Linked DNA regions of Macaca fascicularis. The protein of the gene in region 1 interacts with the protein of each later gene in a biochemical or structural test. Links are inferred from orthologs where the notes say so. Each region holds a gene or a part of one and is shown on either strand. Other genes may lie near its edges. The genes, in order: CREBBP, IRF5, histone H2B type 1-B, NUP98, NFE2L2, KLF1 and VDR.

Region 1 (3,500 bases):
AGTCTTGCCATGTTGTCCAGGCTGGTCTCAAACTCCTGGCCTCAAGTAATCCTCTTGCCTCGGCCTCCCAAAGTGCTGGGTGGCATGAGCCACCACACGAAGCCTAACTTTGTTGAGCTAGTTATTTTAAATGAACTAGACTTATATTCCCTGAGTTTTTTCCATTCCTTATTTTGATCAAATTTTTTTAGTAGTAAGTAGTTTAAAAATCAGGGATTTAAAAATCGTGTTATTCTGGAAATGACCCAGCACATACTTGTTAATAGCAAAATATTGATGTGTTTGATGTGTAGATAAGTTGGTAAGTCAGGATTGTCTCCAGGGAGTTACTTCATTCATATATTGATATGCTGGGCAAGAGAGGCTTGGCATTTCTCTCCACAGTGTATTGCCACCAGAGATACATGATCCTGATTTTGTAGTGCTCATTTGACAGCATTGGGAGTAGCTTCAGGCCAGGTGCAGCAGCCCCCACCTGTAATCCCAGTGCTTTGGGAGGCTGAGGCGGGAGGATTGCTTGAGCCCAGGAGTTCAGGCCAGCTGGGGCAACATAACAAAACTCCATCTGTACAGAAAATTTAAAAATTAACCAGGCATGGTAGTGTGCACCTGTACCTCCCTCCTTAATTGAGAGGCTGAGGTGGGAAGATCACTTGAGCCCAGGAGTTCAAGGTTGCAGTGAGCTATGATCATGCCACTGTACTCCAGGTTGGGTGACAGAGCGAGACCCCGTGTCTTTTTTTTTTTTTTTTTTTTTGAGACGGAGTCTCGCTCTATCTATTGCCCAGGCTGGAGTGCAATGGCACTCAGCTCACTGCAACATCTGCCTCCCGGGTTCAAGCAATTCTCTTGCCTCAGCCTCCCGAATAGCTGAGATTACAGGCACCCACCACGAGGCCCAGCTAATTTTTGTATTTTTAGTAGAGACAAGATTTCACCATGTTAGCCAGGCTGATCTCAAACTCCTGACCTCAGGTGATTCTCCTGCCTCAGCCTCCCAAAGGGCTGGGATTACAAGCATGAGCCAGCGTGCCTGGCCAAAACCCCATGTCTTTAAAAAAAGAAGAAAGGAAAAAAAAGTAGTTTGATGTGTTATCCTTTCAGCGTCCAAGCCATCTTCCCAACACCTGATCCCGCAGCTCTAAAGGATCGCCGCATGGAAAACCTGGTAGCCTATGCTAAGAAAGTGGAAGGGGACATGTACGAGTCTGCCAACAGCAGGGTAGGTTGCTGCTTATCGTGCTCTGGCCTCTACAGCATCTGTAGTAGACAGCACTGCATTTGTCTGCTTTGTTATCTAGAAATTGTGGAATCTGTGTAGTTGGGAGAAACTCCTCACCTTGAGGCCACTGGCCAAAGAGACTTCCCAGATAAGACACAAATTTCCTGCAGAACTCTCTTGGTTAGTTACATTGGTACATGGAATATATAAATTTACATTATGTCCATGGGATATATTTTTCACAGTAGGTGGTGGGTGTAATATTGCTAGCATCAGTGAATATTCAAAAGTTCATTGGTATGAAGTGGGCCGTGTATTTAGTACCTATTATTTGATATGTCCTATAAAGCTCCTGGTGCATCAAGTATTTATTTGCATACTTACTTTTGCCAGTGTACTCAATGAAGAAGTTCATTAGTTGGAACCTACAACACAGATCATTCAGTTGCTTTTTACAGTTTTAACTGTTTCATATTGAATATTGTTGCTTTTTAGGATGAATATTATCACTTATTAGCAGAGAAAATCTACAAGATACAAAAAGAACTAGAAGAAAAACGGAGGTCGCGTTTACATAAACAAGGCATCTTGGGGAACCAGCCAGCCTTACCAGCCCCGGGGACTCAGCCCCCTGTGATTCCACAGGCACAACCTGTGAGACCTCCAAGTAAGCATTTTATTTCCTTCTGCCATCCCTTAGCCTGTTTCCTTGGTTTTCCTTCGTGTTTGGGGTGTATTTCTAAGAACAGAGAATTAGAATCTCTGATGCGTGCACTGCGGAAACTGTTGATGTGGCAGTGGCCCTGACCACCTGCCTCAGGCTGTGTTGGGACACTGAGTTTCTCTCTTGGGAAGGCCCTTTACAGGGTCCGCTGGCATTGGAACACACGTGCCTTTGGACCTATTGGCTGTTTTCCCTTTTAAGTTTGAAGTCCTAATAAGACATTTCCTATTCCTGAATCAAGGATTATATTAAATAACTAGGGTGGTTTTGTTTTTGTTTTTGTTTTGCCGCCATAGATGGACCTCTGTCCCTGCCAGTGAATCGCATGCAAGTTTCTCAAGGTATTGAACTATTTGCTGTGAATCATATTTTAGTTTAACATTCAACAGCCATAACTTTCACTGTTTTTTTCCTCTCCCCCTGTGTATTTCTTTCTAGTCCTTTCTTCTTTCCATTCCTTTTTGCTGATGAGCAGAATTGTTCTACAGGTAGTATGGATCTGTTTATAGTATGAAATTTGGAGATTATAGGAAAGATCTTTCAAGAAATAAGAAGCAGTTTTTAGCTATTTATTTTATTTTATTTTTATTTTTATTTTTTTGAGGTGGAGTCTCGCTCTGTGGCCCAGGCTGGAGTGCAGTGACGTGATCTTGGATCACTGCAAGCCCTGCCTCCTGGGTTCACACCATTCTCCTGCCTTAGCCTCCCCAGCAGCTGGGACTACAGGCACCGGCCACCATGCCCGGCTAATTTTTTGTATTTTTAATAGAGATGGGGTTTCACTGTGTTAGACAGGATGGTCTTGATCTCCTGACCTTGTGATCCACCTGCCTCAGCCTCCCAAAGTGCTGGGATTACAGGCATGAGAGCCCCTGCACCCAGCCTTAGCTTTTTTTAAATTTTATTTTATTTTATTTTATTTTACTTATTTGTTTTGAGACAGAGTCTCACTCTGTTGCCCAGGCTGGAGTGCAGTGGTGCAATCTCGGCTCACTGCAAGCTCTGCCTCCTGGGTTCACGCTATTTTCCTGCCTCAGCCTCCCAAGTAGCTACAACTATAGGTGCCCACTACCACGTCCGGCTAATTTTTTGTATTTTTAGTAGAGACGGGGTTTCACTGTGTTAGCCAGGATGGTCTCGATCTCCTGACCTTGTGATCTGCCTGCCTCAGCCTCCCAAAGTGCTGGGATTGCAGTTGTGAGCCACTGCGCCCAGCCCAGCTTTTTATTTTTTTAATGGATGGTGAAGGGGCATGGTACATTAGTCTTAGGAAGAGTCTGAGAAAGAAGCACTCTAGATGTGGGGAGGGAGTGCTTCTCAGTGCTGAGAAGGAGAGGCATGCAAGACACTCCTAGACTGCTGAGCACTTGCACAGGCTGACATGGGGACGGCACGGGCTGCTCCTGGCCCTAGGGGTTAAGCCCAGCTGGCTGGATGTCAACTTCTGGAGAGTGTGTACACACAGGTCCTGTGCCAGGTTGGGGTGGCAGCAGCTGTCTCAACAACCTTGAAAGTTTCTTAAGTAGAGAGCCTATGGTTTTTGGTTGATTGAAG
Region 2 (3,500 bases), on another chromosome or scaffold:
ATTGCTTGAACCCAGGTGGCAGAAGTTGCAGTGAGCTGAGATTGCGCCACTGCAGCCAGGGTGACAGAGCAAGACTCCATCTCAAAAAAAAAAAAAAAAAAAAAGAGTTAGCTGGGCATGGTGGCATGCAACTGTAGTCACAGCTACTCGGGGAGCTGAGACTGGAGGATCACCTGAGCTGAGTTGGAGGCTGCAGTGAGCTATGACTGCACCACTGCTCACCAGTGGTGCAACACTAGGCAACAGAGCAACACCTCATCTCAAAAAAAAAAAAGGAGGGGGGGGAGTATATATGTACAGTTGTAATATGTCAGTTAAAAAAAAAAAGATTGGGCCAGGCACAGTGGCTCACACCTGTAATTCCAGCACTCTGGGAGGCTGAGGTGGGCGGACTGCTTGAGTCCAGGAGTTGGAGACCAGCCTGGGCAACATGGCAAAGTCTCTACTAAAAGTACAAAAAATTAGCCAGGTGTGGTGGCAGGCACCTGTAATCCCAGCTACTCAGGAGGCTGAGATGGGAGACTCACCTGAGCCTGGGAGGTAGAGGCTGCAGTGAGCCAAGACTGCGCCACTGCACTCCAGCCTGGGTGACAGAGTGAGACCCTGTCTCAAAAAAAAAAAAAAAAATGGAGCTGGTCAACAGAGTTAGGCCCTGCCTCTAAAAAAATTAGAAAATCAAAAAATTAAAAGATTGATGATATATCTGAATCTTATATTAAAAATAGTTTGTTCCCAACACAAAGAAATGACAAATGTTTGAGATTATGGATATGCTAAGTACCTGATCTGATCACTGTACTTATCAAATCATCACTGTGTACCCCATATATTTATGGGGGTATATTAATTTAAAAATAAAATTTTTAGAAAGATGATGGGTGGGCCGGGCACAGTGGCTCACACCTGTCATCCCAACATTTTGGGAGGCTGAGGCAGGCAGATTATGAGGTCAGGAGATCGAGACCATCCTGGATAACATGGTGAAACCCCGTCTCTACTAAAAATACAAAAAAATTAGCCGGGTGTGGTGGCGGGCACCTGTAGTCCCAACTACTTGGGAGGCTGAGGCAGGAGAATGGCAGGAACCTGGGAGGCAGAGCTTGCAGTGAGCTGAGATCGTGCCACTGCACTTCAGCCTGGGCAACAAAACGAGACTCCATCTCAAAAAAAGAAAGATGATGGGTGATTGTTGGCTTCCTTTAGCATATGTGTGCACTGAACAAGTCCTCATGAGTAATAGCAGTGAGATAAGAGCAAAGGGTGAGTAGGACAAATTATGGGAAGGCCTTCTGGGGACCCTCAGTTCCCACACTGCTCTAGGGTGAAGGTTAGAAAAGGTGTGCCCTAGGCCAGGCGCGGCAGCTCATGCCTGTAATCCCAGCTACTCAGGAGGCTGAGGCAGGAGAATCGCTTGAACCCAGGAGGCAGAGGTTGCAGTGAGCTGAGATTGTGCCACTGCACTCCAGCCTGGGCTACAGAGCGAGACTCTGTCTCAAAAAAAAAAAAGAAAAAAAAAAGGAAAAAGGTGTGCCCTGTGGCTACGTCTGCATCCCCTTAGTCCGGGCCTGGCATCAGTGGCAGCGTGCTAGCTGGGTGGGTGGCCAGTCTTGAGGAGCTGCCTGTGTGTGTTATATGCGATCCTCTTCTGGGGACAGGGTGCTCTGGAGGTCCAGCCAACCTCCTCGCCAGGGCTTACCTTGAAGATGGTGTTATCTCCGTCCTGGCTGGGACCATGCCTCGTGGCATGCCTCCAGGGGATGTAGAATAATTTCTTTTCCCCGTTGACCCATTGAAGCCCTGGGTACTGGCAGCTGTTCACCTGGGCCACCAGCCAGGGCTTCAGCCGCACGCGGCGGGGCGGGGTGGGAGCGCCTGGGATGGACTGGTTCATGGCAGAAGGGTCTGCAGGAGAAAGCCAGGGGGAGCCTCAGCAGGTCCGCAGGTGGACGGAGACAGGGTGCTCAGAGGTCAAGCTGTGGGCCACAAGGGATGGTCTCTCCAGTCCATCTAGGTATTTAAGGCCAATTGTCTTTTCCAAGCATCAACTTTCTTGTCTAGTGTCATGGAATTTTGTGTTTGGGTGAAGGGAAAGAGAGTTACGAGTTAGTGAATGCTGCGGGCACAGCCCCAGACGCCCTTTACCGGGCGGAGGCATCTATTCTCCAACTGCTGACAGTAGCGAGCAGCCCATTGGCCAGAGAACTGCCTTCCACTACTCACCCCACAGGTTAGGCCCACCCCTCGCTCTTGGGGGGGCAGCCCACAGCCAGACTGCCTGACACAAGGGACAAAAGCCTGGCTATCTTGTCTCAAGCTGGGCTACTTGGGGCAGCGAGTGCTCCGTGGGATCAGCCTGAAGGCAACCTCCCGCTCAGTCCACACCCCTGGTTCAATTCTTCTCTGCCCAAGTTTTCTCACCCCTGTCCCCTGAGAGTCCCCTCCGGAGATGCCCTCAACAAGAATCTCATCTCGAGCTCTCAAGGACACCTGCCCTCAGAGGAAAGCAGAACATGTGAATGGAGGGTGGGTTTCTTCACCCAACTCTCAGAGCTACCTTTCTTCCTCAGTTTCCCTCCGGGAGGAAGTTCCCCAACCTCAACGTCTTTAGATAAATCCCATCAACCAACTCAACCACCTCCAACGACAGCGGCCACCAAACTTAGACGTTACTTCTCTAGGGCCATTCATCTAGATTCTTGGTCCTCCCCCTTCTCCTCCCACTGGACACGCATTGGTGTAGCCCTTAGGAAGGCCCTAACGCCTGCCGGAGCCTGTTAGGAAGTCTGCAGGAAACAGAAACCACAGCTCTAACCACTACCTACCCAGGGGCACGATCCCCACCTCTCAGGCCACAGCTTCGCTGCCTCCCTGGAGTCAGGCCAGAGGGACCCTGCCTCCTCCCCTCCACCCGCCAAACTCCCTCTCCAGCCCAGAACCGGAAACTCTTCACAGTCCTGAGCCCCCTCCTCTCTCTCTCTCCTCCCCTTACCCATGCCCTTGGCCCTTCACTTGAGACCCCTGTGTGGAAGACAGAAAGGACTGGGCCATTATACAGCACAGCCCATCAGAAGTGAACGTGTCGCTCAGCAAGTAAGGAGCAAAGGTTCGAGCTGAACTCCCTCTGTCTTTCTGGGCCTGCTTGGGCCTTGCAGCACGGAACCTCAGTTTCCCCTGAAATTCCCTGCCCAGTACCTTTTGGGTTTGCACCTGCCTCGTGCTGCCTCTGAACTGCTAGCGTCTCACATTGTAGGCCTCCCTCAGAGCCCAGCTCGGCTGCCACCAACCCAGGAGACGTAAGGCCGGCCGGCCTTGCCTGGCCCAGGGGCTGGGACTGGGAGGTGTTCAGAACGCTCCAGCCCTGCCCCGACCTCAGAACATGGGGGCTCAGTTCCGCTTTCTGCCCCAGCCTCCACCCAGCCCCAGGGGAAACGAAAGTGGCTGGACTGGGACAACTCAGAAACCAAACTGACTGTGGGCTGACGGAGGGAGTCGAGTGGGTC
Region 3 (4,229 bases), on another chromosome or scaffold:
GAACAAGGTACATAACAAAGCATCTACGGATTTTTTTAATGTAAATTCCGATTCAGTAAGTTTGCGTGGGACTTGAAATTCTGCATTCCTGACAGTCTTGAAAGTTATCAGTGCTGGTGAACACTCACTAAACCACCAGAAACGTTGACTGCCTCATGTCGGAAACTACTTACATTCAGAGAATGAGAATTCCATGCTATTTTGTTACTGGTCAACAGCCAGTTTCCTTATCCTTCGTTTTCTAAGTCCAAGTCACATTCCCACCCTGACTGTTCTCAAACTGTCTTATTTTGGTTGGCTTTAGTTTCACTTTGTATACTCTAAAATGTAGTTTCTTAAAGAAGATATTTCCTCGAAACTTAATTTTTAAACACCATTAGGCTAGGGGGGCCGTGGCTCACGCCTGTAATCCCAGCATTTTGGGAGGGCAAGATGGGAGGATCACTTGAGGCCAGGAGTTCAAGACAACCCTAGCTAAAATGGTGAAAACCCCGTCTCGAATAAAAATACAAAAATTGGCTAGGCGTGGTAGCAGACGCCTGTAATCCCAGGTACAAAGGAGGCTGAGGCATGAGAACCTGGTGAAGCCGCGGGGTGGAGGTTGCAGTGAGCCGATATCGCGCGGCGGCATTCCAGCTTGGGTGACAGAGCGAAACTCTGTCTCAAACCAATCCAAACCAAAACCAAAAGGTACCCGAAACACAAGCAAGTTACCATCCTTTCTTGTGAAACAATGGACGGTTCTGAAAAATGCCGTAGCAAGTTTAAGGTACGTTTTCTGGCTTGAGTGGGCTTTACTTGCTTTTGGCCTTATCGTGGTTCTCGGTTATTTTTGCAACAGGACGGCCTGAATATTGGCCAGGACGCCTCCCTGAGTAATAGTGACTTTGCCCAGCAGCTTGTTGAGCTGCTCGTCGTTGCGGAAGGCCAGCTGCAAGTGGCGGGGGATGCTATGGGTCTTGTCACGTATGGCGCTGCGTGTCAGCTCCAGGATATCGGCGGCCAGGTATTCTAAGTACAGCGGCGCGCCGGCTTCGACAGGCTCAGAATAATTGCCCTTTCGAAAAAGACGATGGACCCTGCGCTACTAGAAACTGCAAGGCTGGTACCGATGAACAACTTTGTGCTTTACTTCCGTTTTCCATGTCCAAACACAGCGACCTCTGAAAACTGTAAAAAACAAGCAAGATGGAATGGCGCCTGAAGAAATACTTTTATACAAACTGCAAGGCTGCAATAGAGAGTTATCCTATTGGTCAATTATGTTTCCTGCTTTATCCAATAGAAAAAGAGTCCATAAATTCCATATTTGCATAAACCCCACCCCTCAGTGAAACTGTATTTCTTTTATCCAATCAGAAGTGAGGAATCTTAAACCGTCATTTGAATCTCAGGACTATAAATACGTGGGCTCTGAACTGTTCTCTCTACTACTCTGCTGGAGAGTGTTAGTAGCTTTTTTGTTTTGTTTTAGGAATAGCGATGCCTGAACCCTCTAAGTCTGCTCCTGCCCCTAAAAAGGGCTCTAAGAAGGCCATCACTAAGGCGCAGAAGAAGGATGGTAAGAAGCGTAAGCGCAGCCGAAAGGAGAGCTATTCCATCTATGTGTACAAGGTTCTGAAGCAGGTCCACCCCGACACCGGCATCTCCTCCAAGGCCATGGGGATCATGAACTCCTTTGTCAATGACATCTTCGAGCGCATCGCGGGCGAAGCTTCCCGCCTGGCGCACTACAACAAGCGCTCGACCATCACCTCCAGGGAGATCCAGACGGCTGTGCGCCTGCTGCTGCCCGGGGAACTGGCTAAGCATGCTGTGTCCGAGGGCACCAAGGCTGTTACCAAGTACACTAGCTCCAAGTAAGTGCTTATGTAAGCACCTCCAAACCCAAAGGCTCTTTTCAGAGCCACCTACTTTGTCGCAAAGAGAGCTATAACCACAATTTCTTAAGGTGGTGCTGCCTCTGTTCTGCTTCAGTTCTAGAGGATCAACTAGAATGTTAGCGAAGGCAACTTTTAGAGCCAAGGTTAACTTGGGGCAGCGCGCCGTGGCTGTCGCCTTTAATCCCAGCATTTTGGGAGGCCGAGGCGGGCGGATCACTTGACGTCAGGAGTTCGAGACTAGCCCGGCCAACATGGTCTCTATTAAAAATACAAACGTTAGGAGGGTGCTGGCGCTCTTTCTCATCTGCCTTTAGCAAACTTCTTTGTTCCCCCTGGGTAAGCCTTCGGGTACTAGTTGTAATTCATTTGATATGGTCACTACTCCCTCCCTGGTCTAGCACAGGAAACTTTCCTTTCTGGATAATGAAACAAGTAATGCAATTCAGGGTACAGTGTTTCTATGGGGGTCATTAGCCGTTAACCGCTTGAGATGAGGGGGAGGGGAGCAGAAAAGTCTAAGCGACAAAAGGGCGTGTAGGGATATTTGCTCCTGCAGTTTGCCTATGCTGTAAATTCTTACCTCCAGTAAGAAGGAAAGATTTCCTCCAGTATTGAGGAAACAGTAAGCGAAGTCTGATTTCCCGGGCGCCTTTGTAGGGAATATTTCCCGTTCCACAAAATGAAATCGCAGTAGTTTTGCGTTATAATTGTTTATCAATGACAACAGCTATGTAGTTTACATATTTCATGCATCCCAGAAATCCAGATTCCCATTTCCTAGGCCACTTAAAATTCGGATTTCCAGCTCTGCGAGATACAAAAGGGTTTGAATTTTGTGCCTTTCCCCAACTGGCCCTACTGCAAAGATACTAGGAAGGCCCCACTTGGAGAGGGAAGCATTTTTCAAGAAATCCGGGACGCCAAAAACAATATAGCTAGAAAAAGGCAGGAAGGGTACTAGTTGAGGAGGACTTAATGGGCCAATTCTTGGTCTGGGGCTGGGGGAAGAAATGGAAGAAGAAAAGAACCTGTTGATTGCACACTAAGTAGGAGGGGATGGGGGAATCGGAGGGGAGTATTTTAAGTGAACTTACGGGCATTATATGTAGGTGACATTCAGCAGTGTCTTCGGATGAAGAAATAAAGTTTCTCAAACAGTTATTGTTTCTGTTTTGAGAAATGGTCTTGCTCTGTTGGCCAGGTGCCATCATAGCTCACTGCAGCCTCGACTTCTCCAGCTCAAGCTATCCTCTAACTTCAGCCCCTTGAGTACCTGGGACTACAGAAATGCGCCACCACACCCAGTTAATTTTTTAATTTTTTGTGGAGGCAAAGGGTCTTACTATCTTGCCCAGGCTGGTCAAGTGAACTCCTGGGCTCAAGTGATCCTCCCGCCTTGGCCTCCCAAAGTGCTGAGATCGTAGGAATGAGTCACCGCGCCCGGCCCAGATTTAATTTTTAAGAATATTTTAAAAGAGGTTCTGGGCCGGGTGTGGTGCAGCTCACGCCTGTAATACCAGCACTTTGGGAGGCCAAGGTGGGAGGATCACTTGAGCCTAGGAGCTCAAGACCAGTCTGGGCAACTTAGTGAGTCTGTCTCCACCAAAAATTTAAAAATTAACCAGGCCTGGTGGCACATTTCTGTAGTCCCAACTACTGGGGAGGTTGAAGTGGGAGGATCATTTGAGCCTGGAAGGTGGAGGTTGCAGTAAGCTGTGATGACACCACTGCACTCCAGCCTGGGTGAGGACAGACCCTGTCTCAAAAATAAAAAAAAAATCTGGATGCCACACAAAATGTCAGTGAACAACTGTAAGTGAAGCACTTCCCATCCTAGTACTGTATATGCAAACTACCGTTGTGAAAGAGACGCTTGTGTTTTAAAAAATCTATAATTTTTTTTAAAATTATAAAACGACCACCTCCCCCAAAACATTACTAAGCAATTGAGGCTGCAGTTTAAGAAACTGATATTTAGGATCTTTCCCCGGAGAAGTGAGACCTGCTAATATAAGCATTTGCAAAATGAACTTTTGGGCCAGGTGCATCATGCCTGTAATCTCAGCACTTTGGGAGACTTAGTCAGGCAGACCACTTGAGCTCACAATTCGAGACCAGCCTGGGCAACATGGCGAAATCCAGTCTCTACAAAAAATTAGCTGGGCGTTGTGGCATATGCCTATAGTTCCAGTTACTAGAGAGGCTGAGGTGGGAGGATTACTTGAGCCTGGGAGGTAGAGGTTGCAGCAAGCCAAGATCGCGCCGTGACAACCTGAGTGACAGAATGAGACACACCCCCCCAAAAAAACAGCCTGACTCATTAAAAAAAAAATTTAAAAATATTAA
Region 4 (2,915 bases), on another chromosome or scaffold:
CTTATTTAGTTTCTGTCAGTTTCATGAGAGCAAATAATTTGTCTTGCTCTTGATCCTCCTGCTGCCTGCACCCAGCTTTTTTGGTGTTTTAGAAAAGGCTAGGCCAGGCGCGGTGGCTCAAGCCTGTAATCCCAGCACTTTGGGAGGCCGAGACGGGCGGATCACGAGGTCAGGAGATCGAGACCATCCTGGCTAACACAGTGAAACCCCGTCTCTACTAAAAATACAAAAACTTAGCCGGGCGAGGTGGCAGGCGCCTGTAGTCCCAGCTACTTGGGAGGCTGAGGCAGGAGAATGGCGTGAACCCGGGAGGCAGAGCTTGCAGTGAGCTGAGATCCCGCCACTGCACTCCAGCCTGGGTGACAGAGCGAGACTCCGTCTCAAAAAAAAAAAAAAAAAAAGAAAAGGCTATAAACTTGGAGTCAGGGGACCTAAATTAAATGTTGGTTCAGGCTGCATTTTTTACTTCCTGTGTGCTCTTAAGAAGTCATACCATCTCTCTGAACCCAGTTTATCTTGATTTTTGGTGCTGTATTATTAAAGCTTGCTGTATTATTAAAGCTTGCTGTATCGTTCGGGATCTCAAGACTTTCCTAGTCCAAGGCTGTGTACACTATGTTACCTTCCTCTTTATTACTGCATAATTAGTGCCTTGTCCTCCACTAGATGGTGGTGGCTTGACCCTGTGTCATCTTCTTGGATTTTCCCCTCCCTCACCTCACTGTTGTTTCAAGGTTTTGTATAGAGTCTATAGGTGGTGTTGAGTGATAGGAACTCCCCTTGGATTAATTGACTTCTCTGCTTCTTTGTAGGTGGATTGCTCAGGTTATGACCTGGAGCAGTTACACATCAAAGTGACTTCACTGTGCAGTCGCATAGAGCAGATTCAGTGTTACAATGCTAAAGATCGCCTAGCTCAGTCAGGTAAGCCTCTAATCTCCTCACTTTTTCTGCCTTCTTGCTTCCTGTTTTTATCTTACACCCCACCCTCAGTGCCTGCCACCGTTCTCTAGACCCATGCTCAGTGCTTAACTCTAGTTTTTCTCTCTAGACATGGCCAAACGTGTAGCCAACCTGCTGCGGGTGGTGCTGAGTCTGCATCATGCTCCTGATAGAACCTCCGACTCAACACCAGACCCTCAGCGAGTCCCTTTGCGCCTCTTGGCTCCCCACATTGGCCGGCTCCCCATGCCTGAGGACTATGCCATGGACGAACTGCGCAGCCTTACCCAGTCCTATCTGCGAGAACTCGCTGTTGGGAGCCTGTGAGCCCCAGACTCTTTGCATCACACTCACATGCCCGTTCACACTCACCACACAGAGGTTCCCTGCCTTGTTTGGATTGGCACTGTTTGCCATTCTCTGGGTTGGCTATGGCATCTGCCCTCCTTCCCTGCTGCCACAAGCAGCATCCTCCAGTTGTTCAGGGCTTTTCTTAATACTAAACATAGCATAAGGGCTTCTGGAACCCAGAAGAGGAGACAATTCTCTTTTTACCATCCTCAAGACCAGTGTTTTTCCTTTTAATAAATGGTCAATAAAGCTCCTTTGGCAGAATCCCCCAAAGAACCAGGGAATCCTTTTTCACCCCTAGCCATTCTGGATCTTGTGACCCTCCATGCCAACCAGCTACCCTACTCCTACCCTGGCCCTTTTATGCTAGGACTCCTTAGGAGGAGTGAGACAGGTAGTAATGGATCCTTAACAGGTGAACTATCCACAGAAGGAAGAGGGATCCGTCTCTTAAGTAATTGGTTAGTTAACACTGAATTTTGGAGGCAGAGGAGGGTTGGCCTGAGTTAGGAAACAGAATGGGATCTTTCTGACACACTTAGGGCAGAAGTGAATGCCTGCCATGGAGGGATTGATCTTCAGAGCTTCTTTTGTTCCTGCCTTTAGTGTTCCATGAACACCATACCTTTGCTACTACTATGTGCAGGAGCCCTTGGTCATATGTGACATGTCTATGGGAAGCTCCCAGAATTTGGTTTGGTCCCTGGTTTTCAGTCATCTTGCTGAGAGTCTGTCTGGATTTGCCTGAAGAGTTTGGATTAAAAATGGCAGGTTGGGTAACCCTCCCTGTTCATCCCATGTTAGCTCTAAAGCATTTTCCACCCTCCATCATCCCTTCCAGAAGCAAACCATGACTGAGGCAGGCATGGAGTTGGGCGTTAGGGGCAGGCAGAGGGCCTTTGCTACACTGCTGACAGCTATAGGGAGCCCCAGGTAATGGCATGAGATAGCTGGTGTTAGGGCTGTCTCAGGCAATATGGCCACACCTGGGTCTTTATGCATGAAGATTATGTAAAGGTTTTTATTAAAAAATATATATATGTATAAATAAATGATCTAGATATTTTCCTCTTTTTCTGAAGTTACTTTCTTAAAAAATAAATAAATAAAATGTTTATAGCATTCCTGGTATTGGCTTTCCCTTTGTATTTTTGAGCCTTCTTGCCCTGAGGATCTTTATGATGGCCTTGTTTGATTTAGCCTGTTTTTGAATTTGCCTTCTAAATGGAGACAGGCCTTGGGTTAAAGAGAGAACTATTTGGTGCTAAACTGAGAGATAGATTAGCCCAAAGGCTAGATTTATAAGGGGAGATTTAGGGGCAAGGGAGTTGATTATTGATTAATACTGATTGCTGTACATATATTTATACATATAGATTTCCAGGTCTCAAATTGCCCAATAGAATATACCATTCAAAGCCTCCTCGCTCTTCTACTGTAGTGGTTTTGTTTTTAAACCTTGAGTGACGCTTCACCTTTCTAAGTCGGATTCCCTTTTGTAAAGGGGATAATGATCCCTGATGTTACTTCACACAGGGCTGTTTTCAAGAGGAATCAATTGAGTAGCATGAGTACTATTCCAGATCTTATTTTGATTTGTCAAGCTGAAGATATGAGCAAAT
Region 5 (2,483 bases), on another chromosome or scaffold:
GAAAGAATGGTGACATTTCATAACTGCTAGATTGACACTTTAACTTGGGAGTTATCCCTCTATAAACTGGATATTTGCTGAGCAAAGTTTAAAGAAAGCTCCATGTATTCAGTAATGTTTTCCAACATTACTTACTTCTCGTAAGTCAGTGGCTTAGAGTGCTTGCTCTAATTTCTATATTGCGTTAAACAAGGGTGGGATTTCTTTTCATTCAAACCATTTGTGACTTTGCCCTTTAGTGACCTCTACCATCACCCTATCGTTAATGATCCAAGTGATTAGAGTGGATGGCTATGTGTTTGTAGGTTGTTTGTTGTCTTTAATGAATAGATTCATTGAATGGAATTAACTGTGCTCTTCTAGAACATTGGATCTGTGTTCTCATTTAGATTGTATTTGTAATCTCCCCACTCCCCACCATCAACAGTGGCATAATGTGAATTAATATATGTGGTATCTGCCATTTAAAAACCATGATCTCTCTCCTTCCTTTTTTTGTCTTAAACATAGGACATGGATTTGATTGATATACTTTGGAGGCAAGATATCGATCTTGGAGTAAGTCGAGAAGTATTTGACTTCAGTCAGCGACGGAAAGAGTATGAGCTGGAAAAACAGAAAAAACTTGAAAAGGAAAGACAAGAACAACTCCAAAAGGAGCAAGAGAAAGCCTTTTTCGCTCAGTTACAACTAGATGAAGAGACAGGTGAATTTCTCCCAATTCAGCCAGCCCAGCACATCCAGTCAGAAACCAGTGGATCTGCCAACTACTCCCAGGTAGAGTACTCCGTTCTTGGGAAAGTTATGGCAGGGTTTAAGGAAACACTGACCAAGGAATTAAAGTATCTGGATTTGAGTTCCAGCTTTGCCTTTCTTTTACTTAACCTTGTCAAATCTACCTTCCAACCTCAGCCTCCTGATGAGTCCAGTACCCAACCTACTAATCTTAACAGAGTTATTGTGAGGATTGGGAAGACATAAGTTACACAAAAGAGTTTTGTAAAGTATAGAAACATCCTGTAAGGATCAAGTAGCAGCAACAGAAGTAGTGGCAGGAGAACCAAGTAGTAGGAATTACTGGCGTTACTGTGTGTGGCAAGCACTGTTTTAAGAACTTAACATATACTGACTGATTTAATCAACACAAGTATATTAATTAGGTACCATTATCCCTATTTTATCTGCGATGAGCAACTGAAGCTGAAAAAAGGTTAAATAATTTGCCCAGATCACTCAAAAAATTGGAGGAGCTAAGATTTGAACCCACATGGTCTGGTTCAAATTGTGTACCAAAGTGATCTCTGCAATAAGATAAATATTTACCTAACTTGATTATATTTTATGAACATCAAGTATTGAATATTTTGCTTGGCAATGGAATATTTAACCATTTTTGTCTTCCTTTGTGTCATTCCCTTTTATCAGGTTGCCCACATTCCCAAATCAGATGCTTTGTACTTTGATGACTGCATGCAGCTTTTGGCGCAGACATTCCCGTTTGTAGATGACAATGAGGTGAGGTATAAAATAACCTGGTTAGGAGCAAAACTCCCTAACTATAAAATAACAATCGTATTCTACGTAAGTCCCGTCAATGAGTCTCCATTTAAAAGAATAAAAACAGTTTTAGGAGGAAATTTTTTAACCAAGGAAATACTCTGTCAAGGAAACCTTAGCCTATAGATAACTTTACAATTAAGAAAAAAATAATAAAAAACCTTCACACAATACAAAACCAAAACCATTTACTGTTGCATAGCCAGAAACATGGACAGCATAACCATGGAAACAAATAACTCATTTGCTGCAAGTATCTAAGAGGTCTTGGTGAGTAAAAAGCCAGCTGGGCAATAAACGAAGACTTCTTCAGTTAACAGTTTTAATAAATCGGTTTTATCTGGTACCACTGTGCTAGATATTATATAAACTAAATGCTAAAGATTGTGCTTACTCATTTTAAAGTTTACTTCCAAATGCATAGGCTGAAACAATTAGGCCAGCAAATAGTAAATCTGAGTCAGTGTGGTAGGAAAAAAAGATTTCATTATTTACAAAGGGTCATGACTGGTTAGTAAGTAGCGAGACACGGAACTGCAGCTGATTCCATTTTGTATTGTGGTGGTGCCTTAGAGCTTACTTATCCCCCGTTGGTGGAAGACTCATAAATCAATGCCTTATCAATTTTAGGTTTCTTCGGCTACGTTTCAGTCACTTGTTCCTGATATTCCCGGCCACATCGAGAGCCCAGTCTTCATTGCTACTAATCAGGCTCAGTCGCCTGAAACTTCTGTTGCTCAGGTAGCCCCTGTTGATTTAGACGGTATGCAACAGGACATTGAGCAAGTTTGGGAGGAGCTATTATCCATTCCTGAGTTACAGGTAACTAAAATAGAATGTAATACTGAAGATATTATTTTATATTCAGTGCCTTTAGTCATTCTGATTATTTATATGCCGCCTATTTATAGGAAGGATTGGAGGGT
Region 6 (4,034 bases), on another chromosome or scaffold:
ATTCAGGCAAACGCTGAAGCTTTATCTGGGAGGGGCATTTTTATAGGACCCATAACCATTGACAGTTAATATCAGCCACAATAAGGGACCTTCAGGAGCCCCTTTCTAGACCCAGGGTCTCTGGGAAGCCTCACCCCACACCCTCTTCTGCTGTCCAGGGCCATCTGGGAGCTGGTCTGAGTGTCCACTGAGTCCGTTTATTTGGTGGTCTGTCTCACTGGGTCTGCATGACAGTTTGGACATCTCTGTGTGGCTCCCTGTGGCTGAAGACTTGTCGGATTTCCGTGGGAGGCTCCCCCAGGGCTGTCTATGGGTCCGTTTTTGATATCTGGGTGAATCTTTGGGACAGCGAGTCCAGGAGAGGGTCCATTCGTGGGAAAACCACCCGGCATTGTGTCACTTGTCCGTGTAAAGAAACCACCAAACAGGCTTCTTGTCCCATCCCCAATCCCCAGGACAGTCCAAGTGCCAGGGCAGGGCTCAAAGGTGCCGCTTCATGTGCAAAGCCAGGTGGTCTGAGCGCGAAAAAGCTCGTGGGCAGAGCTGGCAGCGGAAGGGGCGTTGCCCCGTGTGTTTCCTGTAGTGGCGGGTCAGCTCGTCCGAGCGCGCGAACCTCCAGCCGCAGCCTTCCCACGTGCAGGCGTATGGCTTCTCCCCTAGGGGACGAGGAAGTCATAAGCGCTATTGTCAGCCCAGTCATGTCCCCGGGTCCCCTGCATCTGGCCACACCCCTTTACTCAGTCTGGGCTGGGACTAGGATGAACAAAGTGAGGCCCCTAGGGCACAAAATTTAAGGAGGCACTCACTCTCAGAGCCAGCCAAGTCCAAGTCCCGCCCTCTGCAACCCTTCTTCCCCGGTAACTACAGCAGGTGCCACCCGCTTTCTCATGTCCGGGTCCCACCCCCTCACCTGTGTGCGTGCGCAGATGCGCCTTCAGGTGGGAGCTCTTGGTGTAGCTCTTGCCGCAACCCGGGTGCGCGCACGTGTGCGCTGCCTGCCTCTTGCGCGCCCACGAACGTCGGCCGCGCTTGGATGGCGCGGCCTCGGCTATCACACCGGGATCCCCTGCAGTCCCCCCGAGTCCAGTGCCCACCGTCCCGGGTCCCAGGCAACTCAGGAAGGAGGGGGACGTGGCGGGGCCGGGCGCGGGTCCCTGGAGCCCGCGGAAGAGCTGGAAGTGCCCTTGGTACTGAGGCGCCGGGTACACCGCGGGGTACCCGGACAGCAGCCCATAGGGGGCGCCCGACGCCGCAGGCACTGAAAGCCCGGTCCGCTGGAAGTAGCCGCCCGAAGAGCCGGCGCCGGGCCTGGGGTATACCGGTTGCAGCGCCAGCGCCTTGGGCTCGGGGGCCGGGGCTGGAGCCAGGGCTGGGCCCACGAAGGCGTCGGGAGCCGGGGCTCGCAGGGCAGGACGCACCCAACCTGAGTGATCCTCCGAACCCAAGAGCCCAGCCACCATCCCCGGGCCGCCCGCATAGGCTCCCAGAGTCTCGGGGGGCGGCGGGTATTGCACCCCGGGGGCCTCGCTGGGCGCCAGAGCGCAGGTCTGGGGCGCGCCACCCGGCTCCGGGCCCGAGAAGTTGGTGAGGAAGAGATCCAGGTCCCAGGTGGCGTCCGCGCCCCTCTCATCGTCCTCCTCCTCCCCGGGTTGGTCCTCAGACTTCACATGGAGGGGTGGCTCCGTGGGGTCAGGAGGACCCGGGCCCATGTCCTGCGCCTCTTCGGAGCGCCACCACTGCGGGAGGGAGCAGGCAGCTTGAGGTTCGGTGGACACTGAGGTGCCCTGCCCAGGGACATCGCAGGCTGGGTACTCTTACGGGGAGAGGCTGGCCAGAGGCTTTGGAAAAGGGTCCTGTTTGCCTGTCTCTCTGTCCCACTTCCCCAACACTAGCCGCCCTCTAGCCGCCCCTCTCCCCCCTCTCCCCCAGCTCCAGGGACAGAAGCCGATCAGGTCTGGCTGGAGACAGGAGATAAGACTTCCACTATCTGGAACCACACTTGGGGATGGGGGAAGGGGTAGCAGAACTGCTGGAGATGGAAAACTGGCGGGGGTTAGGGGAGAGGGTGCCAGCCTTGACTTAGTTTCCCCCTGGAACATCTCTCTCCTTCCCTGTCTCCTAAAACAAGAATAATTCCGAAATTTTGGATGTCCCCCAGACACACTCATCATTTCCCTCTGATATCTGGAAGGTTGTGAGCCTAGATCTCGTTCCTTTTTGTTTGTTTGTTTCTTGAGATAGGGTCTCACTCTTTTGCCCAGGCTGGAGTGCAGTGGTGCAGCTCACTGTATCCTTAATCTCTTGGGCTTTAATAATCCTCCTGCATCAGCCTACAGAGTACCTGGGACTACAGGCACATGCCCCCACGCCTGACTAGTTTTTGGTATTTTTTGTAGAGATGGGGTTTCACCATGTTGTCCAGGCTACCTTCGTTTTCTATTACAGAAATAGATCACACCTAGAACCTCAAGCCCCCAGACCACCCTCCTCACCCTCTGCCAGACTAAGCTGAGATCCCCTCACCTGGACTGAGTGTACCTCAGTTCTGGTTAAGTCCCTTGATTGCAGGGCAAGATGCAGGTCTGGACCCCAAGATCTGTGACTGTGGCCCTGGATCCCAGCCAGCCCACCTAGACCCCACCTTCTAGGCCCCACCTTGAGGAAGTCATCCTGTGTGTCCGGGAAGGGGCCCAGGGCGGTCAGTGTGCTGATGGAGGGCAAGGCGGTCTTGGCTGTGGCCATGGCTGGCTGGTGCCCACCCTGGGCCTCGAGCCTCCTCTTCCTTGGCTGCCTGGTGAACTCTGAGGCTGTGATAGCCCCTTCGAGGGCTCCTCTCTGCCCTTAGCTGATTGGCTGCAGCCTCTGATAAGGGGAGGCAAGGCAAGGCAAGGCGGGGGGGTCACTGTTTCTGAGGCACAAACTTCACATTGGCCTGTCTGGGGTTGGGACTTAAAGACTAACCCTGTGTCCAAAGCCAAGTCAAATATCAGGGGTTGAGGGGTTCAGGGTTTGAGGGTCCAGGTGCTGGGTAAAAGGAGACATTGGGTCTCCAAAGAAGGAGAGACTTGGGGGTCTGCCCTCAGTTTACTTTCCTGGAAAAGGCAGAAAGGGTATTCTGGGAAGAAGCTGTGGGACCCCCTGTCCCCCTGATTGAGGCTCTACAGCCCTCCCCCTCCCCAGTAAACAGCAAAAACCGTGCCGATGGCGGGACTTGGCACAAACTCCCCGCCAAGCATTATCAGACACCCCAGACGTTGGAGGCTGCTATCAGGTGGGGGCCCAGGCCAGCTAGAGCTCTGTCCTCCGGTGAAGGGGAGGGCTGGGGGTTGGGTCTTCAAATTAGCCTGGCTTTCAATTTGCCTGGGTTGGGACCTCCCAGGGTCTGAGCCCTATAGCAGGAGGACACCCCTGCCAACTGGCCCACCATTGTCTACTGGGGACTCTCGGGTGGCACTGCATGGGACTGCATGGAGGCTGGTTCAGTGCCAGCTGCTTTAGTGCGATGGGGGCAGCCATGGGAAAAGTGACCCTGTCTCATCCTGGGTGGGATAGGACCGTTGGACCAAGCCATAGGCAGTATCTGACCTGCAGGAGACCAGTACCCTGGCTCTGGGCCTGGCTGCTCCTTGATTCTGCCCAAAATGAGGAGAGGATCTGAGTTACTACAACAGGGACCTCCACTCTGGTGCCCTGGGAGCCTGGGAAGGGGACATGGATACATATTACAGACACATAATTCATAGTCACTCATTGGAAGACTGAGGCAGGAGGATCACTTGATGCCAGGATTTCAAGACTAGCCTGGGCAACATAGAACCTATATTTCCAAAAAAAAGCTGTGAGTGGTGGTGCATGCCCATAGTCCCAGATACTTAGGAGGCTGAGATGGGAGGATCGCCTGAGTCCAGGAGGTCGGGGCTGCATTGAGCTATAATCACAACACTGCAATATGACCACACCACTGCAGTCCAGCCTGGGGGACAGAGAGCAAGACTCTGTCACTGAAAAAAAAAAAAAGAGAAAAGTTGGGTGGC
Region 7 (4,140 bases), on another chromosome or scaffold:
AATAAACCTTGGTCATTTTCTCCGCCAGCATCAATGGGTTTATGTCACTTTTAACAGCTGAAGAGTACTCCATTAAACAGATGTATCATCATCTGTTTACCTGGGTGGACTCATCACTACGTGCCTATCTCCCCCAGAAGCTGCGAGAATAGGGTGCCAGAGGGGTGGGAGGACAAGGAGACTAGTCAATGTCAGCCATACCTTGGGAAGCAGCCCAGTCTCAGCTGCCCTTTGACATCTTACAAATGGATTCCAGAACTCTGCTCCCTTACCACATCTACAACCCCACCCACCCCCAAGTCCCTACCTCCAGTCCTCTGTCTGCTGTCCCCCTGCCCTTCTCCCTCTGACCATTGACCTCTGTACAGTGCTACGGGTTTGGGGGTCTCCTGGGTGGGCTCCCTGCTTCCCAGCTCTTGGCCTCTGAGGCTGGCTGATCTCCCAGAAATGGGAGGAACTGGGGCTTGAGGGACCCTGAATTCAGGAGACTCTGTGGAGACAGCCTGGCCTGGCCAAGACAGCCACCCAGGCTGACCCAGGGGAGGCGCCATGCTAATGGAGAGGCTGGCACTGCCCATGCCCACATGGCAGTTTCCTGCTTTCCAGAGGGCATGGGGAATGGGGACTGTGCCAGATAGGCATGGTGTCCCCGCCCCTGCACCAATGTCATGGAAAATGTGAAGCCTTGATCTTTGTTCTTGATTGTTCCTCCAACTTTTACAACTGGAAACTGGCGGCGTCTTTGTTCCCACCGGCTTAGGAAGGAGATGTTGAGGGCTGGGGACGGGAGGCAGCTGAGTCAGCAGCTGGAGGTGTTGAACTGGTTGCTTCCTCAGACCAACCATGACCCCTTCTCTCTCACTTACACGCACTCAGTTTACCCATCAACGGACCGTACCTTAACAGCGCCAGTGGGAGAGGGGATGGGAACAGCCTTCACCGTCCTTCCTGGGGAAGCCATCTCCCCTTGCCCAGGATGGACGGCCAGGCTGTCCACAGCCCTGACCCCCACCCCCTGCTCCAGATACCTCTGGCTCCTCTAATGCCCGTGGTGGCAAGCAGTTCCCAACCTGCCTCCTTCCTCAGGGCAGGTCCGGTGTGTCTGTTTACCTCAAGATTCAGTTAGAAATTGATGGTAGGGAAACCACTTTGCCAGGTGGCTCCCTCCGGCTGTGTGGGGCCCAGCCTCCTGGTCCTCCCCTGTTCCCTCATGGGCAGAGTTCATGGAAACTTCTCAGGTCACTGACTCTCACCTTCCTTTCCTCCTCAGGAGGGCAGGCCCAGCCCCACTCCCTGCAGCCTGGCCCCTCCTTTCCCTGAAGGCCCTGCTGTCCTGGCGCAGTGTGGAGAAGGGCAGGCCTGGGGACTGGACAGCAGCAGGGCCAGGGTGGTCTGCTGCAGGGGGAGACGCACCTCTGCTTCCTGCGACCTTGGCGGTGAGCCTGGGGACAGGGGTGAGGCCAGAGAGGGACGCAGGGGCCCTGCCCAAAGCAAGGGAGGACAGCGGGACTGAGGCAGAAAGAGGGCAGTGTGTTCACCTGCAGCCCAACCTGTCACTCAGGGACTCCTAGATGCTGGTAGAAAGCTCCTCCGAGGAGCCTGCTATCCAGTCATGAGTGCAGGTGTGGGGGGTTTGCAGGTGTGTGTGTGGGTGCACAGGTGTGTGGGGGTGCGCAGGTGTGAGGGGTGCGCAGGTGTGTGTGTGGGTGCACAGGTGTGAGGGGGTGCGCAGGTGTGTGGGGGTGTGCAGATGTGAGGGGTGTGCAGGTGTGTGTGGGTGTGCAGGTGTGAGGGGTGTGCAGGTGTGTGGAGGTGCACAGGTGTGAGGGGGTGCACAGGTGTGTGGGGTGCGCAGGTGTGAGGGGGTGCGCAGGTGTGTGGGGTGCACAGGTGTGAGGGGGTGAGCAGGTGTGAGGGGGTGCGCAGGTGTGTGTGGGTGCGCAGGTGTGAGGGGGTGTGCAGGTGTGAGGGGATGCGCAGGTGTGAGGGGTGCGCAGGTGTGAGGGGATGCGCAGGTGTGAGGGGATGCGCAGGTGTGTGGGTGCACAGGTGTGAGGGGGTGAGCAGGTGTGAGGGTGTGTGCAGGTGTGTGTGGGTGCGCAGGTGTGAGGGGGTGCGCAGGTGTGTGGGGGTGCGCAGGTGTGAGAGTGTGTGCAGGTGTGTGGGGGTGCGCAGGTGTGAGGGTGTGTGCAGGTGTGTGTGGGTGCGCAGGTGTGAGGGTGTGCAGGTGTGTGGGGGTGCGCAGGTGTGAGAGTGTGTGCAGGTGTGTGTGGGTGCGCAGGTGTGAGGGGTGCGCAGGTGTGGGGGGTGCGCAGGTGTGAGGGGGTGCGCAGGTGTGTGAAGTGTGCAGGTGTGAGGGAGTGCGCAGGTGTGGGGGTGCACAGGTGTTTGGGGTGCAAAGGTGTGAGGGGTGTGCAGGTGTGAGGGAGTGTGCAGGTGTGAGGGGGTGCGCAGGTGTGTGAGGCGCACAGGTGTGTGTGGGTACACAGGTGTGAGGGATGCACAGGTGTGTGGGTGCGCAGGTGTGTGGGGCGCGCAGGTGTGTGGGGGTGCACGGGTGCGTGGGGTGCACAGGTGTGTAGCCCGCGCTTTGGGGCCGCAGGTGAGGGAGGTTTGAGAGAGGATGGCAGTAAAGGCTGCCCCCTGCGGGTGGGAGGGGTGTGGGAGGGGAGATGGGATCCGGCGCTGGCGCGGTCAGAGAAGGGTGGGCGGTGGTTGGAGGGAGGCAGGGCACTGGCCTTGCTGGATCCCACGCGCAGGCCTTCTCTGCTGGCGGAGGCTGCGAGGCCAGCCTCTGTCTGTCTGTCCGTCTGTCTGTTCGTCCGTCTGTTCGTCCGGGTGGTGCGCCAGGCTGCAGTCGGAGCAGGCAGTGGCGGTGGGTAGAGGAAATGGGACTTGACGGCCTGGGGCTGAGCGCCTGATCTTTTCTTGGTGATGCTCTGCCTCCCAGGAACCATCGCTTTTGGCTGTGGTCAGGCAGGACTGGGAAGAGCCCTGTGGCCCCTGCAGGTCAGGCCGCTGCACCCCCTACATCCGATCCACCTCGCTGCCCAAGCGGTACAGCTTATTTGTGTTCCTTCAGATTTTGCCAGTGCCTTTGCACCCCTCTCCGAGAGTTACTCAGTTACCAGTGTTGGTTTTCTATTTCCAGAGCAAAGGCAGGTCCTCCCCTCCACGGCTTTCTCCACCCTAGCGGGGGCTGGGCCTCTGCCTTCCATCCAAGCCTGGGTCCAGGTCCCAGGGCCATGGCTCCCTCGCCTTTGTGGAGGGAGGAAGGCGGGCGGTGGGGGGGGAGAGGGGGCACCTGAGGGGGAGGGTGCCTCAGCTGTCCTTCATATCTTCTCCTGACCTCCAACCCCACCCTGCTTTCTCCTGGACCGTTCCCATCAGCATGCTCTACCTCTCATCTCTAAAAGTATCCCTCTCCAGGATCCATCTTTGCCAGTCCATCACGCTGACGCTTCCACAGCCGTCCTCCTCACAAGAGCAGGGCCACTTGCTGCCTCTACTTCCTCCCTCAGCCCCAGCCACTGCTCCACTGCAGCTCTTCACATGAAACTCGGCCTGAGGAGCGCTTCTGTGCCTCCCTCGTCCTCTCCCAGCAGCCTGGACTCAACTGACTCCCCTCCCGAGGCCTTCTCTTTTCCCTTCTGCTCCCCCCATGTGGCGCTGTCCTTCTGGTTCCTTCTTGACTTGTCTGTGATTCCTTCTCAGGCCTCTTGGCAGGTTTCTCTTCGAAGTGACTGGAAAGCCAGTGCTGCATGGACTTGGTACTGCCATCCCCTCTGCCGTATTTCTGTGGTTTAGACACCATCTGTATGGTGGCAAACCCCATTCTTCCTCTGCGTTCTGACTCCCAGAAGCAGTTCCCCTGGACACTTCTGTTGGGGGCCTCGCAGACATTTCAACGTAATGCATCCAGATGACAACCCTTGATTCCCCTCTGTCACCCCCAATCTAACCTGCCTCACCTTCATCTTTCTAGTTGCTGAAGACTGTGGTCCTTGGTACTGCCTTACCTTTCACATCCAATATACCGTCCAGTCCACCAGATCCCACACAAAATGCACTTGCTTTTCCACCATTCATCTCAATGGCCACCATAGCCCTGGTTTTTCTAAGCCACCATCCTCTCTTACC

Evidence for each region.
Region 2: the proteins of CREBBP (region 1) and IRF5 form a complex in vitro, tested with the Homo sapiens proteins (2 studies listed by BioGRID and IntAct, with this or other methods). The link is inferred for Macaca fascicularis from reciprocal best matches to the Homo sapiens genes CREBBP and IRF5.
Region 3: of the proteins of CREBBP (region 1) and histone H2B type 1-B, one has a biochemical effect on the other in vitro, tested with the Homo sapiens proteins (2 studies listed by BioGRID). The link is inferred for Macaca fascicularis from reciprocal best matches to the Homo sapiens genes CREBBP and H2BC3.
Region 4: the proteins of CREBBP (region 1) and NUP98 form a complex in vitro, tested with the Homo sapiens proteins (2 studies listed by BioGRID). The link is inferred for Macaca fascicularis from reciprocal best matches to the Homo sapiens genes CREBBP and NUP98.
Region 5: the proteins of CREBBP (region 1) and NFE2L2 form a complex in vitro, tested with the Homo sapiens proteins (2 studies listed by BioGRID, with this or other methods). The link is inferred for Macaca fascicularis from reciprocal best matches to the Homo sapiens genes CREBBP and NFE2L2.
Region 6: the proteins of CREBBP (region 1) and KLF1 form a complex in vitro, tested with the Homo sapiens proteins (2 studies listed by BioGRID and IntAct, with this or other methods). The link is inferred for Macaca fascicularis from reciprocal best matches to the Homo sapiens genes CREBBP and KLF1.
Region 7: the proteins of CREBBP (region 1) and VDR form a complex in vitro, tested with the Homo sapiens proteins (2 studies listed by BioGRID). The link is inferred for Macaca fascicularis from reciprocal best matches to the Homo sapiens genes CREBBP and VDR.

Annotation. Positions count from the first base shown.
Region 1 is NC_088394.1:4,558,463-4,561,962, reverse strand, and holds part of CREBBP (CREB-binding protein), read left to right. Parts: intron 1-1,104; coding exon 1,105-1,222; intron 1,223-1,717; coding exon 1,718-1,889; intron 1,890-2,242; coding exon 2,243-2,287; intron 2,288-3,500. UniProt on the Homo sapiens protein: Acetylates histones, giving a specific tag for transcriptional activation. Mediates acetylation of histone H3 at 'Lys-18' and 'Lys-27' (H3K18ac and H3K27ac, respectively).
Region 2 is NC_088377.1:170,402,134-170,405,633, reverse strand, and holds part of IRF5 (interferon regulatory factor 5), read right to left. Parts: intron 3,334-3,500; exon of another isoform or gene 3,193-3,333; intron 2,055-3,192; exon of another isoform or gene 1,903-2,054; 5' UTR 1,892-1,902; coding exon 1,697-1,891; intron 1-1,696. UniProt on the Homo sapiens protein: Transcription factor that plays a critical role in innate immunity by activating expression of type I interferon (IFN) IFNA and INFB and inflammatory cytokines downstream of endolysosomal toll-like receptors TLR7, TLR8 and TLR9.
Region 3 is NC_088378.1:146,884,678-146,888,906, forward strand, and holds the start of histone H2B type 1-B, read left to right. Parts: upstream 1-1,429; 5' UTR 1,430-1,482; coding exon 1,483-1,859; intron 1,860-4,229. UniProt on the Homo sapiens protein: Core component of nucleosome. Nucleosomes wrap and compact DNA into chromatin, limiting DNA accessibility to the cellular machineries which require DNA as a template.
Region 4 is NC_088388.1:70,596,318-70,599,232, forward strand, and holds the end of NUP98 (nuclear pore complex protein Nup98-Nup96), read left to right. Parts: intron 1-812; coding exon 813-924; intron 925-1,051; coding exon 1,052-1,269; 3' UTR 1,270-2,415; downstream 2,416-2,915. UniProt on the Homo sapiens protein: Plays a role in the nuclear pore complex (NPC) assembly and/or maintenance. NUP98 and NUP96 are involved in the bidirectional transport across the NPC. May anchor NUP153 and TPR to the NPC.
Region 5 is NC_088386.1:72,769,216-72,771,698, reverse strand, and holds part of NFE2L2 (nuclear factor erythroid 2-related factor 2), read left to right. Parts: intron 1-510; coding exon 511-777; intron 778-1,425; coding exon 1,426-1,515; intron 1,516-2,187; coding exon 2,188-2,379; intron 2,380-2,483.
Region 6 is NC_088393.1:13,279,567-13,283,600, forward strand, and holds KLF1 (Krueppel-like factor 1), read right to left. Parts: upstream 2,801-4,034; 5' UTR 2,743-2,800; coding exon 2,656-2,742; intron 1,737-2,655; coding exon 911-1,736; intron 657-910; coding exon 481-656; 3' UTR 21-480; downstream 1-20. UniProt on the Homo sapiens protein: Transcription regulator of erythrocyte development that probably serves as a general switch factor during erythropoiesis. Is a dual regulator of fetal-to-adult globin switching.
Region 7 is NC_088385.1:54,687,829-54,691,968, reverse strand, and holds the start of VDR (vitamin D3 receptor), read left to right. Parts: upstream 1-1,340; 5' UTR 1,341-1,436; intron 1,437-4,140.